Linked DNA regions of Rhinolophus ferrumequinum. The protein of the gene in region 1 interacts with the protein of each later gene in a pairwise test. Links are inferred from orthologs where the notes say so. Each region holds a gene or a part of one and is shown in the gene's direction. Other genes may lie near its edges.

Region 1 (7,852 bases):
AGGAAATCTAAAAGCAGATATGTTAAAAGGAAATTACGTTAGGGTAACCCTTTTTACATTTGTTATGTTGGAATGCCACATCATTTACGTGATTTTTTTCCCCTTTGATGAAACATTTATTCTCAGTTTTTAGTGCATTAACAATGGTCTAGAGGTGACCCAAAAATTCAAACCAGTCTCAAGAACAATGATTGTCCTTTTTTCCATTAGTAAGGTACTAATGCCTTACAGGGCTCTTTGTCTCTTCCCACCTGTCATTCCCCTGGCCTCGATCATCCCAGATCTAATAGGGAACAAATTACAGTACAATCCACTCATAGATGCGCTGAACCCCCAATCCCTGGTACACACACAGTGAGGTCCCATCCCTACTTAGAGCCTGTATGTAACAGAGGACAAGTTCATATAGCAGATGAATGCGTGGGATGAGGTCAGACCTCCCATCCAGGCCCAGATCAACCCCAACCCCCACAGTGAGGAGCAGTAATGCTTAAGAATATATTCTTGGTACTTATCCTATATTTGAACTCAGAATACAGTATTTTCTGGAGTAAAGTATCAAACTTGTAGTAGACTGTAGGCACCATGCACTACTAATATTACACAGCTCCCTTCCATATGCACCTGGGAGCTAGCTTTGGAAATAACTATTCTTTGGAACATTGTTTCTATTGGCATACCTTCGGCTTTCAAAACAATCAATCTACAAATTTTTGGAATGATACTCTTTTGTAATTTGACAATCATTTATAATGTTCTATTGGGAAAACACTAAAATTGCATATGCTTCTGACTGGTGTGAGCATGGAGGCAACATCCAGATTGGTGAGTCAAACGTCCTGCTCTGCACCCCTGGTGTCCAGATTGTGGTTTCTAAATTGCATCTCCCACTAAAAGCAACCAGTGCTCCTCAAAGGAACAGCTAATCCAGGTCTGGGGCAGGAAACGGACAATGGTGGAACAGCACCTCAATGACGATGAAGAACGATGCCAAATGGACAAAGTAGCCAACCTGAGGGGCTCTTACTGGCTTATGGCGGGAGATTTGAGCATCAAATTACAGCAATGCATGGAAACACATGAAAAGTATTTTAAGCCATGGATTCATAATGATACCAAAAATAAAGAAAATTAATCGGTCACCTTTGTAAGATGCCAGGGAACTATCTCATTATTTTAAAATCCTGCCTTTTATCTTACCTTTTATATATGAAAGGTATTTCAGGTTAATTGGATAATGGAAGATTAAATTCTTTTTCATTATAGATTTCTAAGTAATACATGAAGAAGGAATGATATGATTAGAATATTGCACTTTGCAACTCCCAGTGAAATAAGGATTTAGGTAGTGATCGTCAGTGACTGCTAAACCCATTAGGTTAATGACAGATTTTATAACTGGAGAGTCAGGCTAACAACTCCTGAACCCACGGATCCATCTTAACACCAGAGAAATCATACATTATATGCCTCCTGATGTGATGGAAGAGGAAGTATTCAGCATCACTCACATTTTTTTTTGATTAAAAACCTCAAACATGCATTTCATCAAGTCTCTAGATGTAACTACTACTTTACGGGAAATTCAGGAGACAGACTAAGATGTTAAAGGTCAAAGAGGGTACAATCAGTAAAACCCAGATTGTCAGAAATTCTACAGGACAAATGACAACTTATTAAAGGAAAAAAAGGGACAAGAAACTGTTATAATTTAAGACTTGAGACAAATCAGGCGGCTGGTTTGCTCAGTGGTTAGAGCACAGTGCTCATAACACCAAGGTTGCTGGTTCCATTTCCACATGGGCCAGTGAGCTGCGCCCTCCAGAACTAAACTGAAAACAACGACTTGACCTGGAGCTGAGCTGCGCCCTCCACAACTAGATTGAAAATGCCTTGACTTGGAGCTGATGGGTCCTGGAAAGACACACTGGTCCCCAATAGTCCCCAGTAAAAAAAGAGAGAAAAAAAACTTGAGACTTATCAATGAAGTGCTAAGTGTGTGAATGCTGACTGGAACAAACTGACTATACTAAGACATGCAGGAGGCATTGGAAATGATCGGTATTTAAAAGCATAGAAGAATGTTTAACTTAAAAAACATCTGTGATAACCCTATTGACATTATACTTTAAAGAAGAGGTCCTATCTTTAGAGATAAATGTTGAGGCTTTACAGATAAAATACTGTCTTGGATTTGCTTCAAAATAATCCAGAAAGAAAGGCGGGGTGGGGAGGAAGTACTATTGGAGGGTGGATATATATATATATACATATATATATATATATATATGTGTGTATATAACAATATTAATGGGTTTTTGGTAATGATTTCTCACTCTGGCATTTAAAAAAAAACAAGTTCCATGAGCTGTGTGACATTTGTATACATGAGCTTATCCCTCCAACCTCAGTTTCCTTTCCAGACAAATGAAGCTAATGATAACATTTGCCAGTATTATTTTAAAGACCAAATTAGATAATCCTGTTAAACTCTGAATACCCAAGATATTTTAAGTACTCAATAAATGGTAGCCCTTACAATCATTTTAAGCCAGTGAGATCAAATACTTCAGTACAAACTCATAATGTACACCTGTAAATCTGTACAACAGATTCAGCATAAGGTTGATACCATCGAGGATTTTTGTCATACTCTGCCGCGCCAAAAACCTGACTTGCTCAAAAACCTGAAAAACAACTAAAATCTCCATATACCACCAAGGGAAAGAGAGGACTTCTCTCTCAGCCAGACACAAATCACCAAAGAAATCAGGATACAGTGCTTTTTCTCTATCTAAACTGTGTCTAAGCTGTGAGTTGACAAACTTTCTGGCAAGATGGCAGAGTGGCCTTCCTGGCTGCTGATGCCAAGGATGCTGAAACCTCTCCATTTACTTACTAGAGCACAGGTTCACTCCAAATTATATGGGAGAAAGTTCACTTGGCCGTTTTCTACTACTTATGGACCAACAAGTGTTTACAGTGATTCTGTGTTTCCAGAATAATGGCAAAGAAAAATCGAGTTTGAAATCTATTTTACTGCCTCATTGAGAGGCAGCAAATTCAAGGTGTTTAATTCTGGGACATAACGACCCTCAGACGTATGGTAACATCAGGCCTTGCCTATCTCGGTCTTCCTGTGTCCGTGGTGGGTCTCCGTAATCCATTGATTTATTCCAATCTGTCATAGATGGCTCCCGTCTGGGCTATCACCACTTCTTATTTGCTTCACGACATCAGGAAAAGGGAGTCTAGAGAGCACTCACCTTCTGGGGGGCTCAAGACCTCCTCGGCGGGGCCATAACTGCAGAGGCTGCAGACCCGGAGGAAGTCTTGGAGAGGTCGGGATGGGCAGAGGGTCCGGGGACCAGGGGACGCGTGAAGGCTGTGTGAGCACGTCCCAACATTAATAAACGTACAATGCTCTGGGTACGTAGGGAGATAAAGCTCCAAAATAAAAATTAACAACGGAAGGAAAGGGATGTGAAATGGCAGGACAGGAATTCTGGGGTCAAGACAGGGGAAGCATGGTGAAAAGGGACACGTCGAAGAACCGGCAGTGAGGAGGAGAGCACGCCTGGGGCCTTGTCTCCAGAACAGCAGTGAGCCCAGACCCGCGTCGGTCCCCAACCCCTTCTCACCAGTATCAGGGCTGCGGCCGCCAGCGCCACGCCGAGCACCGCGCCGAGCACCACGAGCTGCAGCGGGAGCGAAGCCATCCTCCGTGCGCCGGCTGCACCGCCGCCCTCCCCAGCACCTACACACATGCGGAAGCCGTCCCGCAGCCCCGCCTCCTGCAGGCGGAGAGGCTGCGCCCGCCGCCCACAGCGCCCTCGCGCGGCGAGAACACATTGGGTCTTGTCTGCCAGCCAGGCGCTCTGCTCCAGAGTTGCCAGAATTAGCACTACGTGAAAACAGAACGTCCACTTAATTTGAATTTCAGATAAGCAACTAAGTTTTTTTTGTAACAGCCTTATTGAAATATAAATCACATACCATTCAACCCACACATTTAAAAGTTTTTGGTATGTTACCTAACTTTTTAAAACTGAAATTTTTTTTTGCTATTTTTCCTATTTAAAATGCACAATCCAGTGCCATTAATTACATTCACAATTTTCTGCAACCATCATCACTATTTCTAAAACTTTCCCTGCTCCAGCCCCTGGTAACAACGACTAACATACACTATTTGGGGCTTACTCATAGTAAAAAATTACTCTTTGCTTATCTGACATTCAAATTTAATTGGATGTCCTTTATTTTATCTGGCAACCCCACCACGCAACCTACAATAAAAGCAGCTCCTGTGGAGCCCGCCCAAGGTCCTGAAAAGTGTAACCTGGTGCGGAGAATGAGCGCGAAGAAAATATATGTAATCTCCAGTGCTGAAGCAGGGAGCTCTTTACCTGGGAGAAGGAAAACCCAGGCATAACCTAAGAGGGGGCAGGAAAAGGACGCAGAAACACTGGATTAAGAACATTGGGATAATGCTTCACGCTCAATACTGGATTATTTGCTATAAGGTCGATTTTCTCTTAAACTCTTGAACTGTTTGTAAACAGAGAAGCTATCACTTCTATAACAGCAGACTCGTCAAAACGCGTAGAATGCAAAGAAACCTACAGGTGCGTCTGGCTAGTGACTGTTGAAGCGAAGGGTCGGGTCGCACCCTAGCGATGCCCTGGCCTTCTGCGTCTCCTGCAGCCGTAGAAGAGCGCTGGAGTCCGTGCGGAAAGCGGTGGCCCAGACGGCGCGCGGCACGTAGACAACAGTGTCCTTCCCCCAACCTCCGCGCAGGCGCAGGCGCAGGCGCAGGCGCAGTGTCCTACCCCCGCGCAGGCGCGCGGGCGGGAAGATGGCGGCTGGTTTCAAGTGAGTGTTGGCGGCGGCTGTGCGCGAGTTTGTATCCTGACGGATGGCGGCTTCCTTTAACCCTTAGCTGGGATTTTCTCACCTGGAGGCCACCCCACCATCTTCCCACTTTCTCTCGCGGAAGCAGGCGACGGGCGGGAGGACCTGGAGGTGGTTGTAGTGAAAGGAAAGGGGGCCTCTCCCCGGCACTAAGACGGGAAGATGGAAAAGAAGACTATACGTTGAGTTCAGTACCCGCTGCGGAGCGCGTGTGCCTTGTGTAGTGGACATTTAGCCCCAGGAGACAGCTGTATTTTAAAAAGTGTTGCATCAGAACCACGTGCCATTCTATTCTCCCTCCATAATTTATTTCTAAAAGGATTGTGCCTTGCACGGACGCTTTTAGCTAAGCTTTTTTGTGTGGCACTCTGGTGAAGCCTATAGATTTTCGTTCTCGGAGCCAAATTTTTAAAGGGATAAGTAGGATTCCGAAGAAAACCAAGTATATTGAAACACTTATCTATTTCTATAAATTCCCGAGTTCACGATACGGTGATGTACACATACTTGTTTTAAAATTAAACAAGATCTAGTGGGGAGTCTAGTAACTAGTGGAATTTCAAAGTAACTGAACCTACCTTCAATAACTATTAAGTAAAAACGAAAACATTTAATGTCTGTGGTTGTTAAGAGTCACAGGTATTGCTAATATTACCCAGTCAGAATTTAAGAATATGCTAAATTTCAGTTATAGGATGGTGAAAAATAAAGATGTAACTTTTTTTTTTGTGCCGAGAATCCCTGCTTCCGGGGGAGAGTGCCATTAACACCTGGATTAATCCTTTTAAAGAAGTCCAAGGGCTTTGGACTCCAGTCCTGAAATTGTTTAAGGCAGAGTTAAGGACAGTTGAGTGATTGCTACAGCAAGGGTATCTACTTCTTATAATTAGTTATGTGGCAACATAAGTGTCAGAATTTATGAAGGAAACAGTCACACATTGTGGAGATTTATACTGCATGACTACGTTTTTAAGATCTTTTACAGTTTCTGGATTTATATTAAGATTCATTAACTTACCTCGGATATATTGCTAACATTTCAGAACTGTGGAACCTCTGGAGTATTTCAGGAGATTTTTGGTGAGTAAAGGTGATTATGTACATGTTATAACTTTTGATAATAACATTTTTAAAGACATTTTTGACATACAAATATTGAATTGTTACATTGTACACCTGAAACTGTTATATGTCAATTATACCTAAAAAAAATTTCAAGTAATTTCAATTAACAAGGTTTAATGTGTTTTCCCTGGTTGTATGTAAAATATACATGTAGATGTAATCTTTCATATATATTTATTTAGAAAGAGAACTGCCGTCCTGATGGAAGAGAACTTGGTGAATTCAGAACCACAACTGTCAACATAGGTGAGTATATTTTGAATTCTAAAATAGAATGTTGAAGTTGCTTCAGTTTTGAAACTGGAATGTTTCTTGTTTTTTTAATACTAGTATTTTTATTTGTAGTTTGTTTTTTTTTAAGTCCTCTCAATTGATATGTTCTCCATTTTAAAGTAACTACAGAGCGTTCCCCCCTCCCCGCCCCTTCCTTCCAGATCTCTAAGACATGGTTTTATGTCTTAAACTTATTAAACTTTCTGTTACAAACATGGAGTTTTCCAGTTTTACCTGTGTGGCATTCCCAAGTTTTAGCCTCTAAGCCACTTAAACAGTATTTCAGCCAAATTCTACCATGTTTAAGAGATTCCAGTGATTTTTGTGTCAAGAGATTTTTACCTGTACAACAGTCCTGTGACTGAATGAAAAGGATTAACTCAAATTCAAAGACAGGTATATAATTCTTAAAACAGTAATCATACCACTTTAAAGAGTTGAGCTAGGAATAAATTTTCATAAACTAAGATATGTAACAAGATAAATGAAAACACTGTGGACTTTTTCATTTTGCTTGCTTATCTTTTCAGGTTCAATTAGTACTGCAGATGGTTCTGCTTTAGTGAAGCTGGGAAATACTACAGTGATTTGCGGAATTAAAGCGGTAGGTTTAATATGTCTTAATGAGATTTGAGTTGCCAAATTAGCTTCGTATACTTATTAGATTGTAATATACACTTTTAATTCTGTCGATTAGGCAAGTCAGATGTCAGTTTTTTAGTATTTGTTTTCATTTCCCAAGAGCTTTCATCTCTTATTGAATACGACCCGTTTAATGATTCAGTTGTAATTTAAGAACATCAAATGTACTGAAATCAAATAATGTATCAAATCCTCACCACCTTTAATTTTTTAAGAATTTGGTTGTGGGGGGGTATCACTTTGTGAGGGCTGTAAATACCTATTACATTGTTTTGTACATCTGAAACTAGTTTTTTTAAAAAATTTGATTATCATTTGAGAAATTAGTTTTTTGGTGACATCCTTTTATCCAGTGATGGCATTTAATCTGTGCAAATGTGTAAAAAATTGAGATCACTCAAAAGAAAAGCTTGACAGAATAGCTACCAGGTACTACCTGCTACGTTCCAGGCACCTTATTAGTACTGCAGATGGTTCTGCTTTAGTGAAGCTGGGAAATACTACAGTGATTTGCGGAATTAAAGCGGTAGGTTTAATATGTCTTAATGAGATTTGAGTTGCCAAATTAGCTTCGTATACTTATTAGATTGTAATATACACTTTTAATTCTGTCGATTGGGTGCTTTACAGAATATTAGATGCTTTACAGAATTATCCTGTTTAATTCTCAGAACGATCATCTCGGGTATAATTTTACTTAGTCTTGTGAACCTCATTCCATGAGGTTCAGGAATGAAGTCTCACAAATAGAACATTGACTCCAAAGCCTGTGCTTCTTGACTATCACTCTGAGAGTTACTTCACCGAAGTTCAGATTCTTCCTTGGTAAAGCTGGGATATCTAACAAGATTTGAGCACTTACTTACTGCCACATTTTGTTAGGGACTTAATGGGCATT
Region 2 (7,625 bases), on another chromosome or scaffold:
CCATGGTTGCTGGTTCGATCCCCCCATGGGCCAATGTGAGCTGTGCCCTCCACAACTAGATTGAAACAACTAGTTGACTTGGAGCTGATGGGTCCTGGAAAAACACACTTAAAATAAATAGAAAGTTAAAAAAAATAAAAATCCTACTTATGGGCTAGTTTACCAGAGAACTAATAAAAACCACTAAAGGTATTAAATTAGTGATTATTTTCATGAATTATTGCAATACATTTTATGTCTCCTTAGTAAAGAGAAACAATGGAGTATTATCTCTATTACTTATTAATTGCTATATAACGAATTATTCCAAAATTTAAGTGCTTAATACAACAAACATTTATCATCTCACACAGTTTCTGAGGTCAAGAATCTCAGAATTAAGATCTGAGTTTAGCTGGATGGTTCTGGCTCCAGGTTTCTCATGAGGTTTCAGTCAAGATTTCAGCGAGGGCTACAGTCATCTGAAAGCTTAACTGGGTTGGAAGATTTGCTTCAAAGCTGTCACATGGCTGCTGGCAGGAGACTCCAGTTCCCTACCAAGAGAACCTCTCTGTAAGTCTGCTTTTAGGACCCATAACAGCCATCATCCACCAAAGTGAGTCACCCATGAGGGAGGGAACGTACGAGAACAACCAGAATGCCGAAAGTGTCTTTTATAATCTAATCACAGACGTGAGGTACCATTACTTTTGCTCTACTGTACTCTATTGATCATCCAGACCAACCTTGGTACAAGTAGGGGCAATTATACAAGAGTGTGAGTACTAGGAGACAGGGATCCCTGGGGGCCATCTTAGAGGCTGGCTACCAGAATACCAAACCTTTTTTTTTTAATTTTTAAAAAAATATTATTTATTTATTTATTTATTAGCTTCATGTGTACAAAACACTGTAATAGTTAGACATTTATCATTTATACCCCTCACAAAGTGATAATCCCTCTCCCCCAATCTACTATCCCTCTGACATCGCATACAGCCATTACATTTCCACTGTCTCTATTCCTTATGCTGTACTCCACTTCTTGTGACTATATATACATATATATATATACATATATATAATTATAGTAGACATTCATTATTATTCAGCTTCAGCTTCAGGTGTACAGTGCAGTGATCAGGCATCTACAGCATCCCTGAAGTGGTCTCCCTAAGACAAGTGTCCATCGGATACCCTATAAAATCTTTTCAACATTATTGATTATATTCCCCAAACTGCCTTTCATATCCCTGTGGCAATCTTGTGGTTACAGATCGTGCTTTCCTCACCTTCCCCCTTATCCCCCCCATCTAGCAACCCTCAGTTTTTCCTCTATGTCTCTGAGACTGTTTCTGATTAGTTCGTTCATTTATTCTTTAGATTTCACATATAAGTGAGATCATATGGTATTTGTCTTTCTCTGAATTATTTTAGTGAGCATAATGTTCTCTAGGTCCATCCATATCGTTGTAAATAGTAAGATTTCATTCTTCTTTATGGCCAAGTGTTACTCCATTGTATAAATGTACCATAGTTTCTTAATCCAGCCGTCTACCGATGGGAATTTCGGTTGTTTCAGAATACCCAACCTTTTATTGGAAAAAAACTCCAAAAAAGTCTATCATTTTTTAAAACAAAAAATCCCATCCAGTACTGTTTTTAGCTCCAAAGTTTGTCAAGCAGACTTGAGGTATTGATTGTGTATAAGAAAAGAAAGGTGACACATTTGTGTAAGATGAACTTGATTAATTTCATTAGGTTCTCAGTAGCATTGTATCTTTCAGGTTTTATTTGATTAGAACGTCTGCTTAAAGAGTTCTTTGCTTTTGCTCGTCATAAATGACTTCCTCGGAGTGAAGATTTTCATTTTAGATGTGGCTTCTTGAAAAGTTTCATAAGTTAATGTTAACAAGTAAAGATCCTTTGAAAGTGAGTTTCTGTAAGTTTTGGTCCAGTTTAACGTCATAGGATCCTTTATCGTTGCCTGAATAGTGAGCTATATTTGGGGATTTGGCCAAGGGTCTGTCTTGGACTAGGTATCAAAATACCTAAAGGATTTCCTTAAACAGGCCCAGGGTCAGATACAACAGGTGCTTTACTTCTAATTTTGGAACTAGAAGCAGATAGTTTAGAGTGAAGCTGTTCTGTTCTCATTCTGTAGGAGTGAGGACAATAAGTAATTTTGTCAAGACATCGAGTGTAGAAAAGACCAGAAATGTGTTATTCCTTCTGATAACAAACCACATTTTTGCAAGATAACATAGAATTTTGATGAATTCTGATAAAGGCCTCTGTTTTCTTAGTATTTAAAAATTCATTTAAAAAATTTGAAAGTGGACTTTAGTGTCAGGTTCAATACTTGAATAGTTAAATGACAGTCTTATTTTGATTATACTATTGTCAGTGAATTAAATTTTTGTAATGGAAAATAAACATATTGTAGAATTAATGATGTATTTGGTTTCCTTTTTTCTTTGTTTTTTAACTTTTGTTTAAGTGTGTTTTTCCAGGACCCATCAGCTCCAAGTCAAGTAGTTGTTTCAATCTAGTTGTGGAGGGCACAGCTCACAGTGGCCCATGTGGGGATCGAACTGGCAACCTTGTTGTTAAGAGCACCGCACTCTAACCAACTGAGCTAAACCGCCACCTCAGGTTTTCTTTTTTCAAAGTATTTTAAAAGAATTTTGGGAATTTAGAAGATGGTGATATTACTTTGTTAAAAATACATGAAAGCATATTTAAATAAGATTAAAATATGGATAAAATAGAAAGTATGCTTGAAACACACTGAGTCACTCCAAATGAAATTATTGTGCATAAAAGCAAAACTTTTGACTTGAATGAGTTTTTAAAAAATGAAAGCAATATAGTCACAAACGTTTCAATTACAAAAAAAAAGGTTGATAAATTTTCAAATGTGAAATCCTTGGAAATATATTTCTTATATATCCTCAAGATAGTCAATGCAATCTTACCACGATACATACAGTATACTTTCCATTAATACATACTGAATATGAGATTAGCTTCAGAAATTCTGATTGAATTCTGTTTATTAAATGTTATTAAATGTTAGGAAAGGCATGGTTTTCTTTTGGCATATCAGAAAGTCTGTTGCTTATAAAATGAATACTACAGAATCTATTCATTTTAGGAATTCAATATTTAAGCTCTACAGTTTAGGTGTTAACTTTCTTTGAATTTTTCTGCGGATTGAAAGGCAAACTATGCTTAAAAAAAAGAAAAAGAAAAAGGAAAAAAAGACAATCCATGTTGTAAGTAGTGACAAATCTCAGTAATTCTTTTTGAGTGGAATGAGAAGCATATGTGGTGTAAATATTTTTAGAGAAAAGGTTTCACTTGAAACTAGATTTTTCTAAAAGTGATTCCATAGTGTTTATTTCTCTACTACATGTAAAAAATTTAATATTGGGACAAGAAAATTTATTTAGGTGACACTAACTTTTGTAGTCTCTAAAAACAGCACAACTGGAGATAGAATCTTTAAACATTAAGACATCAAATTGAGATGCTCCAAGGAAAGTGAATACACAAGTCATTAATTGCTTGCACTGAAAACAAATTTCTAGAGTCTTCAGTAGTTTGCATTAGACTCACCATCTGGCCTACCTTGTCCCCATTCCAGAGTTTGACTACATGTCAAACCTACAGTAACCCCCCCCTTTTCCCTTCTTCTGACCCACCCCTAACCCCCACCATGGCCTTGAGACTGGAGTACATTTTATGATTAACTACGTATTTAAATAATTAGGATACCAGCTGCTGTTGTATTTTAACAAAATAAAATTCTGATGTCACAAAAACGTGCTGGAGAAATGCTGGGTTCTAAACATAACTTGACATTCAACTTCAGAGGGTGGGAAGTTGAGCTGGAAACCTCAAGCACTGGAACCCATGGCAAGTCCAGTATGTTAGTTATCAAGCAATTAAAAGATGATTTTTTTTTAAGAAAAAAAATTCTAATTTGCCGACCAGTGACATCTTTTTGTGCTGGGGTGCACAGCTACAGTGGAAGGGTGAACAAAAGTGTCTGTGGCAAAGGCATCTTGCCATAGTGCGTGAGCTATACTTTGAATTTCTAACAGGAATCAGCAGTTCATGGGTGATTTATGGACAGTCTGTGTCGTCCTACACTGTGCCAGTTCCACCAGCCTTCACCAATTAACTGTATTTTCTGCTTAAGCCGTTAAAGCCACCTCCATGGAAACGCTTCGAGAAGAGGGGGTGGGGGAGGGAGCAGACAGGTGCGCCCTCTGTTTGGGAATACACAAAGGGCCCACCCAGCCGCCGCCGTGTCCCTGGCAACTCCGCGCACTTCTCAGGGCGCGCACTCACGGCGCTAGCTCTTTCTGCGGCATCGCCGTGCAGTGGGCGGTCCGGCCTTCCGCGAGGCGCGCGGAGATTACTGCGCGTCAGCTCGCTGAGACCCTCGTCCAGCTCGCGGACGCTGTGCCCGGGAAGCGCGTAGCGGGGTCCGGGGGCGCCCGTGCTGTAGGGACTTGTAGTTCGCGTGCCTCCAGGGCGCCTCCTCCACGGGCAGGCCGGCTGCGCGTCCCCGCCCGTCGCAAGCCGACTTCCTGCTTCCGACAAAACTACATTTCCCGGCATCCTCCCCGCTGTCGGGTCGAAAGCGAAAACAAATTCTGGGCTGCGAGGGTGCTGTCCTCCGCTGAGCGCCCCCACCCGCTCCCCGCCCCTCCGGCGCCCTTCTGCGAGGTGGGGAGACGAAAGGCCGCGTCTTTCTCTTTTGGCTTTCTTGGCTTCCAGTGTAGGGAGCGCGGGGGACGCAGGCGTCGTTTCACCTGAGCCGGCCCCGCGTGTGGGGGGCGGGGGCTTTCTCGCCTCACCCCAGTCGGGACGAGGAAACTTGTAGGGAAGACGACCCCCGGCTCAGGTGCTGAGCGGGGCAGCAAGGCCGCCGGGAAGTGAGTTCTCACTCTCGGGTTTTCTTTAATTTCCAATCGGTTCCCTTGGGCGCGCGGTCCCTCGGGAGGAGGCCGCGTGCGCACAGCCATGCATTAGGCAGTGCTCCCCCATGCGCGCGGAGAGCGCGGACCGCTGCCTCAGGCTGCCGTCACCGCCTGCCGCCCGCGGAGCCCGAGCCAGAGCCGCCGCTCGTTCTAGGCCGAGGCGTTGAGGAGCCGGCGCCGCGGCCATGTGGGGTTAGCCCGCGCCGCGCCTGGCCTGCAGCAAGACCGGCAACATGGAGGCAGCCGTCGGCTCCCTCGACGGCGGGGACCAGGGCGTCTCAGAGCTCCGCGAGGACGCGACGCCCATGGACGCTTATCTGCGGAAACTGGGCTTGTATCGGAAACTGGTCGCCAAGGACGGGTCGTGCCTGTTCCGGGCAGTGGCAGAGCAGGTAAGGGGGCTCGGGGGTGGGGTGGGGGCGTTGGGGCCGGGTGGGAAAGCGGCTGCCGGCAGCTGTCCGGGCCGCCCACGTCCGGGGCTGCGCGTGGCCCCGCTGTCGTCACAGCCGCCCATTGTAACGCCGGAATGGGACGCTAGCCTGTCTGGAAGCTGTAAATCGAAACTTAAAAACCCGTAAATTAACTGGGTGTCGTCCCTCCGGGTTAAGAGGTAATGAGTTGAGGACAATCTATGAGGCCCGCTGAGAGCGTGCACATTTGATTGATTGCTGGGGACTTGGCGAAATGGTATTTTTCCATTCTGTTCCGCATTCACCGTGTCTTCGTTTTGTAAGCAGAGCGTTCACACCAGTTAACCAAATGTTTACTAGAGGAGGTGGTGCACCAGACTTTACTCGTAGAACATTAGTGTTTCTGCTCCTGGACTTTGGAATGTGGGGTAGTCAAGCCCGCAGATGTCCACTGAATCAAAAGGGGGAAAATGTGCAATTTGGGAAAACCAACCTTTTAAAAATATAGAATGTTTTAAAATAATAGTTTTTGAGTAGATCCCACACTTTATTATGTTCTGCAAGGCAATAAAGATACGCTGAAAATCGTTTACTTTTTTAAAAATCTGTTTTGGTGTTGGTAGTAGGAAAGGTATAATTGGGGATGCCTTAGGGCCTTCTTGGCCGAGTTTTTTCTCTGTTAATGGTCAAAATAACTTTGTAACACAATTGCCTAGGAAGGTATTTCTGATTTTTCTTGTAAGAACTTATTCTGTTAGATAACACTGTAGTTGGTAGTTATGCAGTTACCAAAACCCATCCTATATTGAAAAATAGCTGTTGAAATAGTTGAATAAAAGTTTCAGGTTACCTCCTTGGTGTGTATTTCATACCTTTCAGTTTGCTTTCCTTTCTTAGGTTTAAGATTCCTCCCCTCCCCTCCATGGAGTTTTTATGTTTCTGTTTTCTCACCTTTTTTGAATGCTAAATAGCTTTCAAAATTTCTATTTGTGAGTAAGTGTTTTACTTAACATCTGTAGACCAGTCTATTTTCATTTTTTTCAACGTCGAAAGGCCAGCCATTTATTTACTAAAGGTCCTCATTTTCACATCAGTATCATGAAATTGTTTTTTTTAAAAAACAAATTGATTTAACTGGTACAAACCTTTGCATTATATTGCAGGCATTGTCACTCAGACATTTTTCCTAGAGATCCCCAAATCAAGCTTTGTCTTTCTCAGTTCATTAGATTTCTCTAATTTTTAGAAATTCCGGATGTTTCGGTCTTGCCACCCACCCAAGTCATTACTATTAGTAGGTAAACAAGTCTGTCCCATTTGTGAGTTTGGGGATCTCCATGTCCCATTTGTGAGTTTGGGGATCTCCATCGTCCTACTTCCTCTTCCTCAGCCTCCCTGAACTCCTCAGCACCTCCAGAAGCAGAGGGAAGAGGTGGAAGTGAATTCAGCCTCTATTTATATGTATTAGCACTAGCGAGAGTTTGGTAAGGGAGGAGGTAGAAACAAAGAGAAATAAGGGACGTATGGCACTTATTTGGAATTGGATTATCCAGATCCTAGTTTATCTTGAAGCAGAAAAGAGTGTCTGATTTCCAGTATTCCATGCCTTAGATAATTGGTGAGCTTATTGTAGTGTGGGATCTCTATTTTTAGGTAGAAAGGGGCAAGAACTAGTTATACTGAAAACTCATTGGTAACATCAGATAAATCTCATTACAATAAGATGCAATAAAATGAGTTAGGCATAAGGGACTATCTCCTCCACTTATGTGACTGATTTTTAGTATACTGAGCTTAGAAAACTTTAATAACATGACTTTTGGGGAAATTTCAGTAGACATGAACTAACCCTGTAGACTTCATGGCCTATAACAAATTGGGGGTTGTGTGTGTGTGGTGGGTGGGTGAAGTAGCAACAATGACCTCAGGCTGCACTTTAAAAATATGTACAGAGGGTTTAATTTTTTGCCAATATTTTCTCCAAAAATATCAAAATAATTGAACATTACTAAGAAGGAGTCACAGTAAATAATCTGAATGGTGTCTGGGGGGAGTGGGGCAGAGACTTGAATTAGGAGTAGTGGTACCTCTCCAAATTACCTGATTTAGATAGGACCTTCCCTTTTTACACTACTGGACTTGGGCCTGCAGGAGGCCTGACCTGAATCAGCTTTGTGGCTGTGGAGCTAAAAATAGGGCACTCTTTGAGGACTTGCTAAAGCAGTGTATCTGAGCCTTTCTC
Region 3 (7,880 bases), on another chromosome or scaffold:
GTATTTGTGGAATTAAGCTGATTTTTTTCCCCATAAACTAACTAGTGTTAAATGTCCTGGGGAACTTGTTCTCTGAAAGAATCCCATAGTAAATCAATTGGGAAATTCAGGTTTTAATTTAAGCTGTTGAATAAGCCCAACGTTTGTAGGTTGGATTTGCTTAAAGACAGATACATCTGAAGGAATATAAAGGCAGTTGTAGAAGATTCCTTATTTCTAAGGCTGTGGAGACATGATCAAAAACGAAGATGGGAGGAGGCACATGAGCGAGGCCACCGACTGGCTTGGTTATCAGCACGGCTCAGGGGCTGGGGCCACAGAAGGAAGGAGCCTGGGGGGGCGTCTGCAACGTTTACGTGGTCAACACTTCCCCCAGGATGCCAAAGGCCCAATAATCCGTTCTCCACGGGAAAAAAACTAGGTGATCCCCACAGCTCCAGGATACCTTAAGTGACACTGCACACACACACATACACACACACACACACACACACGCAGTCCAGGGACACCCACCCCCAAACTGTTCCCCTGTACAAAGTCCTGGGACACGTCTCTCTTTGCAACCTGTCCCTTTCCAATTGCTCCAGGAATCCACCCAACTTGTTACACCGCGTACTGTGGGACCTCTCCACAAAGGATCTCTCGCTCCCATCCTGAGACACCTCTACAGCTTGTACCTTCATCCACAACTCAGGACAAATCTCCCCCCAAACTGTTCCCTCCCAGAGTCCCAGGATCCCTCCAATTTGTTCCCTATACATACTACTGGAATGCCCCCCTCATTCTGTCCCCCTCCACACAATTTTCTCCCAAGTTGTTCCCCCTCACTCGGATGCCAGACACCCCTCCCGTCTGTCTCCTGCTGCTCTGCTGCAGGTGACCCCTGAAATGCTCAAGGCCTGTTTCCTCCCTTGAAACGGGAGGCACTTCCACGGCTCCATTCGCCCCCGCAGCCGTTCCTGTCCCTGAGAATCCCGGCACATTCTGATAGTCTGTTTCTTCCCCCACAGACCTTGGGCAGCTCCATAACCTGTCCCCACGCCCACAGGTGTAAGACAGCCCTGGGGCCAGGTTCCTCCTTGCTAGCCCCAGGACACTTCTCCCTCCTGTCTCCTGCTCTGAAGCCCCTGGGCCCTCTGTGGACGGTCTCCTCACCACTGTGAGGCCCGAGACAGCAGCATTCGCCTCTTCTCCAGTAGACCCAGTCACCCACACGGCAGCAGGCACACGCCCCGCCATGGGAACTCCCACCGCTGCAAGCACCCCCAAAGACAGAGGTACCCTCACAGCCTCAGGGACTACTCCATCGGGTCTCCTTCTCCACATGCCTGACACACCTTCAGAGCCAGTCTCCCTGTCCACGGGTCCTGGAGCCCTGGAGGCAGGAGGCCCCTCAGCTGCCGGTCTCCTTCCCCATACACCTGGGACATCCCCAGAGTTAGGATCACCCACCATCGGCACAGGAACCCCAGCAGCTGTAGGTGCTCCCACAGCCATGGCAATTCTAGCAGCCACAGGCATCTCAGCAGTTTGTCCTCTGTCCGATAAGCCCAAGAGACTCCCAGAGAGTGTCTCGTCCCCCTCAGGCCCAGGCACCCCCGTGGCTGTGCACAGCCCCACAGCCATGGGTACCCCCGCCGTCTGTTTCCCTCCCGACAAGCCCGAGATGCCCCCAGGACCCATCTTTTCCCTTTTGGGCCCAGGCATCCTGGCAGTGGCGGGCATCACCCTTCTTGTGGGACCGTTGGCATCTGCAAATACTTGCACTGTCTCTGTCTCTCCCCATAAGCCTGAGACACCTCCAGAACCAGTCTCCTCCCACACAGGCCTGGGAGCCACAGGCACCCCTGCAGTCACAGGTACTCCGGGAGCCTGTCTCCTTCCTGGCAAGTGTGAGAAAACCCCAGAGCCAGTCTCCACTCCCAGAGGACCAGGTACCCTCGAAGTCGTGGACACCTCAGCAGCCACAGGAACCCTGGCACTCTGTCTCCTTCTCCACGATCGTGTGACACCCCCAGAGCCAGTCTCCTCCCCAACAAGCCCGGGTACCTCAGGAGCCACGGAAACCCTGTCAGTCATGGGAACCTCAATACCCTGTCTCCTTCCCCATGATCCTGGAAAAGCCGCAGAATCACCATCCTCTCTCACAGGCCACAGCTCTTCGGTGGACACAGGTACCCCCGAAGCCACTGGTATTCTGGCAGTCTGAACTCTTTCCCACAGGTTCAAGACATCACTAGAGCTGCTTTCCGGACACATGGGGCCAGACACCCACACAGCAGCAGGCACCCTCCCAGACCCAGGCACATCCATAGCTGCAGGTAGCCCGGTGGCTGGAGCACATCTGTGCTTGGGCATGCCAGATGCCTCGGACACCCCCACTGTCTCCGGCAAGCCCATAGCTTGTCTCCTCCTGCACAAACAGGAAATATCCTCATAGCCAGTCTCTTGATCCACAGACCCACAGACCCCTAAAGCTGTGGGCACCACAGCCTCTTGCTCCCCCATAGCCTGCCTCCTTTCCCACAGACTCAGGACATTCCCACAGCATGTCTCCTCCCCAACAACCCCTGGCACTGCATCAGCCAAAGGTACCCCCATAGCCTGCTGCCTGTCCCACAAGCCTGGGATGCCACCATACCGCCCATGTTCGCCCATGGCTCCTAGTACCACCCCAGCCTGGGATAGCCCTACAGGCTGTTCTGCGCCCCACACACCCGGGACATTCGCACAGCCTGTCTCCTTCCCCAAAGCCCTAGGTACTCCCATAGCCTGTCCTACACCCCACAGGCCTGGAGCAACCTCAGGACCTGCCTTCTGCTCATCAGGACTAGATACCTCTGCAGTCTGTGCAGCTTCCCATGACCCTCGGTCACCTCCAGAGCCTGTCTCTACCCACACAGCCTGTCCCCTTTCACTGAATCCTGGGTCACCGCCACGTCTAGTTTCTTCTTCAGAACAAGGCACCCCTACAGGCTGCCCAGTGCCCCACAGGCCAGGGATACCCCTAGGGCCTACATCCTCCAGAGCTTGTCTCCTCCGCCACAAGCCTGGAGTTTCCTCCTCCACAACTCTGGACACCCCCATAGCCTGTGCCCTGCCCCATACGCCTAGGGTATCCCCACACACTGCCTCTTGTGCCAGAGCCCCAGGCACCTGCACTGACAGACCCCTCTCCCACAGACCTGGTGCACCCCCATAGCCTCTCCCTCCCTCCACAGCTCTGGGTACCTCTACAGCCTCAGGCCACACCATGGCCCCAGGAACTCCCATAGTTGGTGCTTTTGGCCATGGGCCTGGGGCAGCGCCATAACCTATCTCCTCCACAGCTCCAGGCACCCCCTCCGCTAGTCCTCTCCCCAGCAGGTGTGGCGCAATCCCAGACCTTGTCTCTACAGTCCCAAGCACCCCCACAGGAGGCACCCTCCCAGCCTGTCCCTGCCCACACGAGCTGGAGGGCCTCTCACAATTCGGCCCTACATCAGTAGCTGCAGATATTCCTGAGGCCTGGGGGACTGTCCTAGCCTGTCCTTTCACCCACGGTCCTGTGAGGCCACCACGGCTGGTCTCTATCCATGAAGCCCGGCCAGGTATACCCCTTTCAACTGGCCCCTCTCCTGCAGGCACAGGATGGAGCTCGACTCTGCTTCCTTCCCCACATCCTGACGCTGCCCTCATGGCCTGCACCTTCAACCACAGCTCCAGAATACTCTCGTGCCCCATAGATCCTGGACGACCTTTTCTCTCACAGCCCCGAGGACTCCTACAAAATGCCTCCTCCTCCTCCTCCCCAATGCCAGTCGCCCACACAGACCCGGCAGGCCCCACCACCTGGGGCTCCCCCACGTCCCCGTTCACCAACACAGCCCCAGGGTCCCTTGCAGCCTCAATTGAGCCTGCAGGGCCAGGTGTCTCCGAAGCCTCGTTCGCCCCTTCGGCCTCAACTGTCTCGGCAGCTCGTCTTCTCTGCCGACCGTCCTGCAGCCTTTCTGCACTCACACAGCGCGTCTCCCACACCGAGGACCTCACCCGGCGACTAGATCCACGGCCTCGGGACGTCCCTACACCCCACCTCTTCCCCCCAGGCCGTCGGACTCCGCGGCCCGACCTGCTGGGCCCCACCCCGCGGCCCGGCATCTCTGCCACCCGCTCGCCCCTGCGCAGCCTCGGCCAGGCCCCACGGCCAGCCGCCCTGCTCATAGCTCGAGGACAATTCCCGTCTTCCCCAACGCAGCCCCAGGGCACTTTGTCTTAACACCTTGTTCCCAAGGCTGCTCCACACACGCACTCACACACTCAGCTCCAACCTCGTAGCCTTATTCCCTCGCAGCCCACCCCCGCCCAGCCCCGCACGCCCGTCCCCCAGTCCCGGATCCCCCAAAGCCTAGGCAGAATAGGTAATTGGGGGCGACGAGCGGCAGGATCTGCCCCGGGTCAGGGTCTCCTCTCCCCCAGGTCCATGATTCCTAACGCAGCTTCCCAGAATCCCCCCAGCTCCGGCCCGAGCCCACCTGGCCTAAGGCAGGGCGCGGCTACGGGGAAGTGGGCGGGGGGGGGGTCCCAATTAGGCCTCGCTTCCGGCCGCTCGCCTAGTCGCCATAGCAACCGGCGCAGGGCGGCTTGGGAGCCGTTAAGGATCCTAAACCACCTAAGGGTCCAGCGGCTGCATGGCGGGAGGTTTTGCAGCCACTGTAAACGGGGCTGGGGCCCAGAACAGATTGGGGCAGAAGCCTGGGTTTCGCAATGGAGCCAGCACCGTAAGATCGGAGAAGTGAGAGCAGAAAGACGGTACGGACGAGGCATGGCCTTCAGAGGCTCCCGTAGCACCTCCTAGCTTTCTGGGATCCTTTAGGCACCGCCCTCTTAGGCCACCCGGAAACAGCTTCGCCCCGCCCCACGTGGGGCCCCGCCTCGCGGCGGTGCGACCCGAAGGCTCCGCGGGCTGTCTGCCGCTCGCTCTCCCGATGGCCCGCTACCAGGAGGTGAGTGTGTCCGGTTTCGAGGACTTCAGCCGGGCTGTGGAGCTGCACAAAGGCAAGACCATTTTCGCCTACTTTACCGGTTCTAAGGACGCCGAAGGGAAAAGCTGGTGCCCCGACTGCGTGCAGGGTGAGGCCGGGATTCGGGGGCTGCCGCCCAGAGGAAATGACGGGAAGGCCGAGGCGATGGCGGAGAGCGGGGTTGGGAAGAGGTAGAGGGAGTCTTGCCCCCGGAGATCTGCAGGGCGATCAGAGCTGTCATCCTGCCTCCTTCTCCTGCCTTGTTCCCGTCTCTCCTGCTGTGAAGTCCTTCCCCGCCCCAAGTGCTCTTCCTACCATTCGACCCATATAATCTTAGAATCCAGTCCTTTAAAACTTTTCACGTCCCCAGTATGATTAATGTCTTACAGTAGACGTGACTTGGTCTCCTTTGGATGTCAGCAAATATCTATGCCTTCCATTGTTATGGGCGCTGTGGCGTCGCGACAAATCAGGACTGGGACTGAGTCCTTTCCCCTTAAAGTGGCTCTCAAATCAGAGAATACCTGACTTCTGTTAATCTCCTCTGTTAACTGTAGGTTAAAGTCTGAGTTCTTGGCAACACTGAGGGGAGGGTAGAGGAGCCCTGTGTGTCTGTGCCTGATTGTACAGTTGATGTGTGATTATTTTATATCTACTTTTTGGAAGCTGAACCAGTCGTCCGAGAGGGGCTGAAGCATGTTCGTGAAGGGTGTGTGTTCATCTACTGCCAAGTAGGAGAAAAACCTTAGTAAGTAGCAGTGTGTACTGTATCTCAGACGTGAACTAGACTTGCAAACTTAGACGGGAAGGACCTTGGGACTCAGGTTCTACCTTCTAAGGTAGTCAGATAAGTCCAGCAATGATAAGACATTAAATACAAATAAAAATTTCCAATATTCAGCCATTTGCATTAGGGAAGGCTAATTCAATGAATTTGGCTGGTGTTAGTTCAGAACTTAATTGTCTTTACATTTATTTTATATTTTGATCACACTTTAAATGAAAGTTTTTATTTGGGGGAATAGATAAGTCAGTCCTCGGGTTTTTTTTAAATGTTTACAACAAAAACAATAGCTAAAAGACTAAATTTAGGAATATGTAAAATATTAAACAAAACGTAAGAAACCAAGTAAATGTTTTTCATGATCACTTTTTCTTTTCAAAATAGCTGGAAAGATCCAAATAATGACTTCAGAAAAAATTTAAAAGTAACTGCAGTGCCTACACTACTTAAATATGGAACGGTGAGTATCTTTCTTTAATGTGTTGGGGCTACAATTCACCCTGTCAAAACTTTTAACTTGTTCTGGATTCAAATTTGAAAAGGTCTTGATATTCCATCGCAAACATCACATCACATTCCTGTTCAGAGTGCATCTGTTCATCCCGTGGCCAATCCCAATAAACTATTAATAATGCAAATATCTAAATATTACATCTTTTTCATGCTTTTTAAAAGCTATTCTTAATTTAAAATTGTATAAGCACTGTTCAAGAAAGTTGGTTTACAGATAATTTCTTAAAACACTGGCATCAGTGGTGGTTTTCCATTTAATCCATAATTCTGGTTGAAAAGAAAGGGCACCTCTTCTAGTTTAGTCATGGCACTGGGATTCTAAATTAAAGAGATGAGGGGAAGGGTGTTGGCATTAGGCTTGCTGTTTCCTGTTTTAGTCTCTATATTTAGAGCCAAGTGATTTATCTTAAAGCAAAAATCTTAACTATTTCCTAAAACTTGTTGCAACTGGTTGATAATTCATGAATGGCGTAATTTCTCTGTTCCAAGGTTTGTGTCATTCAAAGCAGAACAACTCTATCCTCTCCTAATAACATTTTTGTAGTTGTGGGTTACAGTTTGACTGTTCTTCTCTTACAGCCTCAAAAACTGGTAGAATCTGAGTGTCTTCAGGCCAACCTTGTGGAGATGTTGTTCTCTGAAGATTAAGATTTGAAATGGCAATTGTCTTGATTTCCTGATTTGCTCTAGTCTAAAAGAAACTGCATATTTGCTTTGAATTCATGTTAGCAATAAATAAATAATTACGATGTAAAACAATTAGTATGTCTAAACAATAGAGTGCTATATTAAAATGCTCATGAACCTTCTAAGCTAGGTAAAATAAATCTTCAGGAGTGGCAGTATTAGCGCAAAGGAATGTATCACTGGAGGTAATAGAAATTAGACAGCTTCCCAATCTCTAAAGGAGTTAGGAACTTTTACCTCAAATTCCATGAATTTACAAAGAACCGTTATTTCTAAAACATCTTCGGCTTTAGAATTTAGAATTTAACCTAACCACTGAAGGAAAGCACATCACATCTAATCCAGCCTCTGCTTCATGCAGGCAGTTTTGTTTTACAACTCTGAATGTGCTTCCCTATTTGGGATGAGGTGGGTGGCAGAGGCCAGAGACTATATAACCTAGTGGTGGGAACGACTCTAGCCCGTGAGTCAGTCACTGATTACCATTTACTAGCTGTGTAGCCACAGGCAAGTTACTTCACTTTTCTAAACCTCAGTTTCCTCCTATAAGAACAAGGATTATTCTGAGAATAAAATGAGAATGCAACTAAACACTTAACGCAGTGCCTGGCTTGTGGAACCTGCCAAACAAAATGTGAGCTTTCCCAAATAAGCACAAGTATTTGAGGCTCCTCATCGTTGTTCTCGTCTAAGGTCAAGAGTCCAATTAGTAGTTAACCACCAATCGTCCTGCCATCAGTAGGTCAGCGACATACCAATGATTCTTCCATAAAGCTCTCTTGCAATGCAAATAGTGATATAGGTATGTTCTCCTCTCCTGCAGAATTTAAGAAACTTGATGCAGGTCTTGTGCTCTCATTTAGAGGTCATTGACTCCATTTGGTGACCCGTCCCTT
Region 4 (6,827 bases), on another chromosome or scaffold:
AATAAAAAGGTCTGTTGTTGTTTTTTTAAAATCCCAGCCCTCATGCAGCTTACACAGTGCCTGGCCCAAAGCTCAATGTTTGTTAATTGAGGAAATACATGGTCCTATCAGACAAAAATTCCATGAGGTAAGAGTCCATGACTATTTTATTTATCACTGTAAATCCTCCGTGTCTAGGCACAGTAGATGCTCAGTACATGGTTATCAGTGAAAAAGAGAAGGATGATATAGTCCCTGCCCTCAAGCTGAAGCCACACAGCTCTCTGACGCAGTAGGAGAAAAAGAGCCAACAATAAGTGCTGAAAACTCCATAATAGGAGTTCAGCAATTTGGAGGTAGGCTGGAGAGTCAGTAAAGGCCTTAAGTGGGGCATGTGCTATGATCTAACTGTTAAAGGAAGAATGTAATTAAATCACTGGGGGAAAAAGGGGAGAAAAGAGGGACTCACAGATATTTGAGTTTGAACCCTGGCTTCACATTTATTAGTTATGAGTTATTTAACTCTCTAAGCCGCAGCTTCCTCATCTATAAAATGGGAATAATCATCTCCTCTTCAATTGATTAAATAAGAAGCAAGATAAATATGTAAAGAACTTATAGCACTTCGTACCTAAAAAGCACTCAACAAATGATAGATTTTTATCACTGCTGAGGTTATTGTTGATGCTTTTGGTTTTGTGCTTAAAGTAATCAGCATGGATTTTCACAATTGGTGACCAGCCACATAGTAAACAATATTTCATAATCATTCTGGAGAACAGAGTGAAGAAATAAAATGGTGTCACTATAGTCAAGCCGCTAAATTACTAAAATCAAGTTGGTTGAGGCATGAGAACATTAGTCTATTCTTGTTTGAACTAGCCTGGGAACTTAAATTTTGAACTTTCTAGTCCTGTATCAATGCCTGGATATACATCAGTTCATGGACATACACCAAACCTCCAGATAACGCCTGAAAGACTCACATATCTAGACCACCTGACATCTATTATCCAGACCATGGATGTGACAAGACCTCTTGGCACCCATCTTCCAGATCACATGGCATCCATCATCCAGATCTCGTGATAGCTGACTGATAACCACCCTGGGCCAATCCTAGGGCTAAGAATACAGAACTGATTATTCTTAAGAATGCACTTTTTACTATAAGAACTCTTAACTTTCCTTTTTTTCTTCAGAATACTTCTGGGTTTTTGCCTAGTTGTGTTTTGGGTTTGTAAACCCTAAGACCCTTAAATAAATCATTATCATTTATTTCTAGCCAAAGCCTCCAGACTCTTTTTTAGTTTGTTCAACAATTCTTTCTTGAATCAAATTATTGGCAGAGCTAACTAGAAGTACTGAATTGTTTAGTTATATTATGGCAATGTCTTAAACATTTTCTTGCCAAATAAACCATTCTAGCAAATGGCCATACAGATGGTTCAATTACCCCCTTTCAGATACAAGACATGTAGTTCCCTTTCCTACCCAAACGCCAAATAATTAAGTAATATTTGCCTTTTGTGTCCTAGGGGCCACAGCCACAGAGATGATCTCCTGTATTAATTATCTTATTTAGCCCCTAAGCTGCAAATTATGGTCAAGGAAAGCTCCAAGATTTAGAGTTCTCCCTTGAATTCTGAGTTTTCTCTATGGAAAACCCTTATAATATGTTTCAGCATCTACTTCTCAGAACTTGACTTTCCTTTTACCGAAAAGAGTGTCAATACATTCCCTATTACCTATGAAGACTTAGCACTTACCAAATGATAAGCATGTGCCAGATATTATTTTAAGTGCATTACATGGAGTAAGTTATATAACTAGCATTACAGCCCCTGTGATGTTGGAAACTGAATAAAATAACTTGCTTATAGTCATGCAGCTGGGAAGTGGCAGAGCTGGATCCAAATTCAAGCAGACTAGTTCCACACTATATTGTTTCTTATTAAATACCTCTACAAAATATGTCTCATATTTATCCCCCTTCTTTCCATCTTCACTGATGCCACATTCCAGGATGTCTTAGTTATGTTATTACAATAGCTTCTGAATTTGTTTTCTGCTTCCAATTTCTTTATTATTATTATTATTAGTTGCAGGTGTACAAAACAATGTAATAGTTAAGACATTTATACCCCTCACAAAGTGATAACACCGCACCCCCTCCAATTTCTTTCTGATCATCTCTGTGTATCACTGCCAGAATAATTTTATTAAAACACTGGTTTCACTGTGTCACTGCTCTGGTCAAGAAACTACATTTTTATTGTGGCAAAATATACATAATATTTATCATTTTACCCATTCGTAAGTGTACAATTCAGTAACATTAAATCCATTCATAATGCTGTGTAACCATTACTACTGTCTCTACCCCAAACTTTCTCATCAAGACAATAAAAACTCTGTATTCATTAAACAATAACTCTATCTTCCTATAGCACTTGGTAACCTCTATTCTACTGGTTGGTGCAAAAGTAATTGTGGTTTAAAAGGTTAAAAATAATTGCAAAAACTGCAATTACTTTTGCACCAACCTAATACTTTCTGTGAATTTGCCTATTCAAGAAACTACATTTTGCAAACCATACCCTCTCTCTAATTTTTCAGGTTTCTCTATAACTTGACCACAACTTTATTTCTTCATATTTTCTAATACAGACTCTCCAATCTGATTTCTTAACATTCCATTCTCTCAACTGCTGTAATTATATCAATAGTCAATACCACACAATTTTATCATGTTTAACCATTGGGTGTTAGAGCTGGATTGAATTTTATAGGTCTTCTAGTCCAATCTTATTTTACAGGCTTGTGAGTTTAATAACTCGCTTGAAGCTACACCCAGTTGGTGGCAGGGATTTGAACACAGAATCCAAGTCTTTTAAAACTGTTTAGTGAGCCCTTGCAATTTCTCAGACATAGTACTGAGCATTTGACATTGTATTCTCAAACAAGTCCTAGGCTGCCTTTATCATCATCGTTATAATTTTCCATCGTACAAATGAAGAAAAATCTCACTTCAGAGAAACAATTTGCTTACTCTCTTCATGCGTTTGCCTTCTTTTAATAGTTAAATATAGTCTAGGATTTTTCCACGTGCATGCATCTTTTCTTCTCCACACTTGGGCAGTAAGTCACATGAGGACAGTGATCATGTCTTTTCTAGACTGGCAGAACCTAGCAGCACGCTGCATTCCCATTGTTCAGTAAATAAACATATAGATAAACGGATTGGCGTGCGCAGTATTTTGGAGGATTTGCTCCAATCTTGGCACGGTATTTTAAAGACAAAGGACCTGGGTAACGACATCGACAACACAAATCCCTACAAAGAATGCAAACGTGTCCTGATATCACAGTGCTGGCATAGAGTCGACACACATTGAACTACAGCTGCCCTGTCCAACGCGCTGCAATTTACAAAGCTGCACCTCAAAAGCCGTGTTTAGGTTCTGTCCTTTAACTCCGCGGCCGGGCCATTTACAACCATGGAGATCCGCGCAGGATCGAAGCCGCTTGAGTTGGTGGTCACTGTTGTGTCTGACGCTGGTTTGGTTTGGTTCGGTTTGGTTTTCACATTTTGGCTAGGCTGTTGCGGGGTAGGCGAGACCCGAGTTCTCTCATCAGGATTGCCAAGGAGGAACCCGGAGTTCAGCCCCACCCCTCTTTCGGATATTTGAGAGGGGTTCTCGAGACATTTCGCCCCGCACAAAGATGGCGCCGAATCCAGGCTGAGCCAATGGAGAATGGCGTTGCTCCCGGTTGCCTAGGTAACAGCCAATGGGCAGCGGGAATTGTGCCCAGTGCGGCTACCCGGGATGGCGGCGTCAAGTGGGGCAGGCACTGGTGGAGGTGGCGGAGAGGCAGGTGGCAGGGGCGAACCCCGCGGAGCGGAGGTCCGGGCTGCTGGAGCCCCGGGTCGGGGCGTGACCGTCATCCAGAAAGGCGGAGCCCAGGTTGGCTGGCAGTGCGGGTTGGAAGGGGCTGGGACAGTGTGATCGGTGAGGAAGGGACCGAGGAACCCAGCCCTAGATGACATGGGCTGGAGAGCGCGGCTCCGTGCTCGACGCGCTGACCGGAGGGCGGCTGCCCCGAAGTCCCCAAACCGGGCCTCGCGTCTCCACCGCTGGGTGCCGAAGCCCAGGAGCGCCCGTGGCACGGGGGTTAGCGAGCGGAGTGGTTGGGGGCTGTGTCTGGAGCAGATGGCAGACCTTGTGCGAGCAGAAGATCCGGCCCGGGAGGGAAAGCAGACCCGGGTAGAGGGCAAGAGCAATGCTGGAAGGCACGAATGGGTGGTTGAAGGAAAGGGGAAGTGGACCAGAAAGTGTTGCCTTGTTGCCATCTAGGGCTTTGTTTGCTCTGGGCCCGCCTCTCTCACACTCCCGTGGGGAGATGTCCCCACACATCAAGTCTTGGGGAATGGGATGCCTCAGTTAGTTGATGGTAGCATCCCAGCATGGTGGCATCACCGAAATGCTTAGGTATCAGCAGCAGTAACTCGGCTATATTACTGTAGTATTTTCCTTAACCATGGCATTTTCCTTAACCATGAACTAGAATGGTATCCTGGCAGTCCCCATTACTCCCGAGTGTTTGTTTGTTTGTTTGTTTTTTACTTTCTTTCTGGTGTCAGGATTTTCTTCTCAGTTTCTTCAATCTAACTGTCCCACAGTCTTCATAAATAAGAACTTTAGTAGTGATACATTTAGTTTACTTTTCTAATAGAAGGGAGACTTACAGTAAAAGAGACGTACAGACTTATAAAAACAGTTAATTCAAGCTCATGTAAAACACTTTAAAAAGAACGTTTGACTAGACTGAGAAACAACGACTTGAACGGGAGTGGGGCGGAGGGGGCGGAAGAAAGGGGGGGGAGAAAAAGAACGTTTGGCTTTTTCTTCTGGGTTTCTTCCAAACCTAATCTTTGTTCATCAAAACCTTCATTTTCTTGTCTTTAGGAGTCTGAAAGCCTAAAAACTGCTTTCTTTATAACTGAAGGAACTTTGGCAAGACTGTTATACTTTGGGAGGGGTGGTTTGGGAGGGGGTGGCCAGTGTTGAAGGTATATGTGGGTAAAGTGGCTGCCCCCAAACAATATTCTCAAACTGAAAATTTGTTCCCCTTTATGTGAATTTTTTTTTTTTTAATCCTGAACTGGGGCACAGGTTACTATGAAAGCATACGTATTCTTTTAACAAGTTTGATTTCTAAAATTTAAAAAAAGACGAACGGAATGGAAACAAAAGTTACCATTCCTGCCTCCAACTTCTATCTGGAAATGTCTGGGTCAGGAGAAAAGAAAACTAGCAGGGATATAGTCTGTTGTGCAGACTAATAGTGTATTAGTTTACACGGACAAAATACTAATTTCCTTTCAGATAGATGTTTGGATTGATCCTTTGCAACCCATCCGGCAAGAGAGCAGAAGGGTGGGTATTTGTTTAGAAGAAGCATGAACTATCTTGACTCTGTATAGCTGAAGCCTAAACTCATAGGCCCTCCATTTTATTTAAAAAGATTTTTTGAATAACTGATACACGTACTGATTTGCTAAAGTATTGGGTTTTCAATCTTCATCAGCACTAACTATACTTTTTAAGCTAGATTTGTCTCAATGACCATGGTGACTGGTGAAATTTCTTTCTGGGTCAGTGGCTATGCAGCTGACCATTAATTAGCATGGCTGATTACAGAAGTCATAAATGAAAAATCCTGACACTATTCCAGGCAGTGACAATATCCATTATTTGGACATAGGTAGAAGTTTCTAGTCAAGTGTGTTCAACCATGGCTTGAAACTCATGGAGTCAACATGTGTTCCCTTTAATTAGCACTTCTGATTATATTCTTGGGAATGGACATCACTTTGACAGGCAACTGTTGAAGGGAGTTTGCTCTACCTCCCTAGATCAAAAAGGAATGGAAATTTGTAGTACAGTATGGACTTTTGAAAACAAATAGGAGAGGATGGTGGCAGGGTTAGGTTGAGAGATGATATTCCAGTTCCTATTGCTGTATGACAAATTACCCCAAACTTAGCTGCTTAAAACAACCATATGTTGCTCACAGATACCTCAGATGTGATCAGGCTTAATGGCTTGCAGAGGGACTGGAGTCATCTGAAGTCTCCTTTACTCACACCTGATGCCTGGGCTAAGATGATTCAAAGATGAGACCTGCCAACCGGCTCACCAATACCTGTGGCTGTCGGTGTGGCTCAGCTTCCTCATAGCTTGGTAGCCTCAGGGTAGTCAGACTTCTTATGTGGTGGCTCAGGTCTCCCAGCACAAGTGTACCAGTGAGCAAGATGGAAGTTGCGTGACCTTTAATGATCTAATTTCAGAATACACCATCACTTCCATCATGTTCTATTGGTCAAAACAATCATAAGATCATAAGCCTACACAGATTCAAAGGAAAGGAGTTAGAGTCCACTTTTGGTGGGGCAATGGCAGGGTCTAATTGTAGAAGAATGTGTAAGACAGGAGGTATGTTTGCAAACATCTTTAGAAAATACAGTCTGTCACATTTGATTATAAGAACATAATCTTTCAGGTTTCATTGGCTTCCTTGAAATAGTTAGGGTTATTAAAGAACAAAAATTCAACCGAGTAAATTTAAATATCTCATTGGCTTTATGAATGATTCCTGAATTGGGCAGCATCCCATCTAGTAAAAATAGAAAGGTATTTCCGAGGAGTTGTACAAACTGAAAGGTTTTTATAGGCAGAAAGAGTGTGGGGCAAAAGAATGGATTATTTCAGGCAAGTTTACCTTCCCTTAGGGGAAGGTCAGGGGTCTGTCTTATCAAGCAGATTACATCACTAGTGCTGACC

What was found.
Region 2: the proteins of EXOSC8 (region 1) and OTUD4 interact in binary tests that used the Homo sapiens proteins (3 or more experiments, as listed by UniProt). The two-hybrid records come from large-scale screens. The link is inferred for Rhinolophus ferrumequinum from reciprocal best matches to the Homo sapiens genes EXOSC8 and OTUD4.
Region 3: the proteins of EXOSC8 (region 1) and TXNDC17 interact in binary tests that used the Homo sapiens proteins (3 or more experiments, as listed by UniProt). The two-hybrid records come from large-scale screens. The link is inferred for Rhinolophus ferrumequinum from reciprocal best matches to the Homo sapiens genes EXOSC8 and TXNDC17.
Region 4: the proteins of EXOSC8 (region 1) and MORN4 interact in binary tests that used the Homo sapiens proteins (3 or more experiments, as listed by UniProt). The two-hybrid records come from large-scale screens. The link is inferred for Rhinolophus ferrumequinum from reciprocal best matches to the Homo sapiens genes EXOSC8 and MORN4.

The regions. Positions count from the first base shown.
Region 1 is NC_046287.1:92,681,148-92,688,999, reverse strand, and holds the start of EXOSC8 (exosome complex component RRP43), read left to right. Parts: upstream 1-4,840; 5' UTR 4,841-4,858; coding exon 4,859-4,875; intron 4,876-5,957; coding exon 5,958-5,994; intron 5,995-6,221; coding exon 6,222-6,285; intron 6,286-6,842; coding exon 6,843-6,916; intron 6,917-7,852. Other genes in the region: ALG5 (dolichyl-phosphate beta-glucosyltransferase), read right to left, coding at 1-7, 3,642-3,767. UniProt on the Homo sapiens protein: Non-catalytic component of the RNA exosome complex which has 3'->5' exoribonuclease activity and participates in a multitude of cellular RNA processing and degradation events.
Region 2 is NC_046301.1:18,616,569-18,624,193, reverse strand, and holds the start of OTUD4 (OTU domain-containing protein 4), read left to right. Parts: upstream 1-4,615; 5' UTR 4,616-5,206; coding exon 5,207-5,365; intron 5,366-7,625.
Region 3 is NC_046304.1:13,915,704-13,923,583, forward strand, and holds TXNDC17 (thioredoxin domain-containing protein 17), read left to right. Parts: upstream 1-4,872; 5' UTR 4,873-4,964; coding exon 4,965-5,109; intron 5,110-5,666; coding exon 5,667-5,748; intron 5,749-6,168; coding exon 6,169-6,244; intron 6,245-6,876; coding exon 6,877-6,945; 3' UTR 6,946-7,636; downstream 7,637-7,880. UniProt on the Homo sapiens protein: Disulfide reductase. May participate in various redox reactions through the reversible oxidation of its active center dithiol to a disulfide and catalyze dithiol-disulfide exchange reactions. Modulates TNF-alpha signaling and NF-kappa-B activation.
Region 4 is NC_046299.1:26,202,702-26,209,528, forward strand, and holds the start of MORN4 (MORN repeat-containing protein 4), read left to right. Parts: upstream 1-3,809; 5' UTR 3,810-3,947; intron 3,948-4,014; exon of another isoform or gene 4,015-4,154; intron 4,155-5,369; 5' UTR 5,370-5,420; intron 5,421-6,827. UniProt on the Homo sapiens protein: Plays a role in promoting axonal degeneration following neuronal injury by toxic insult or trauma.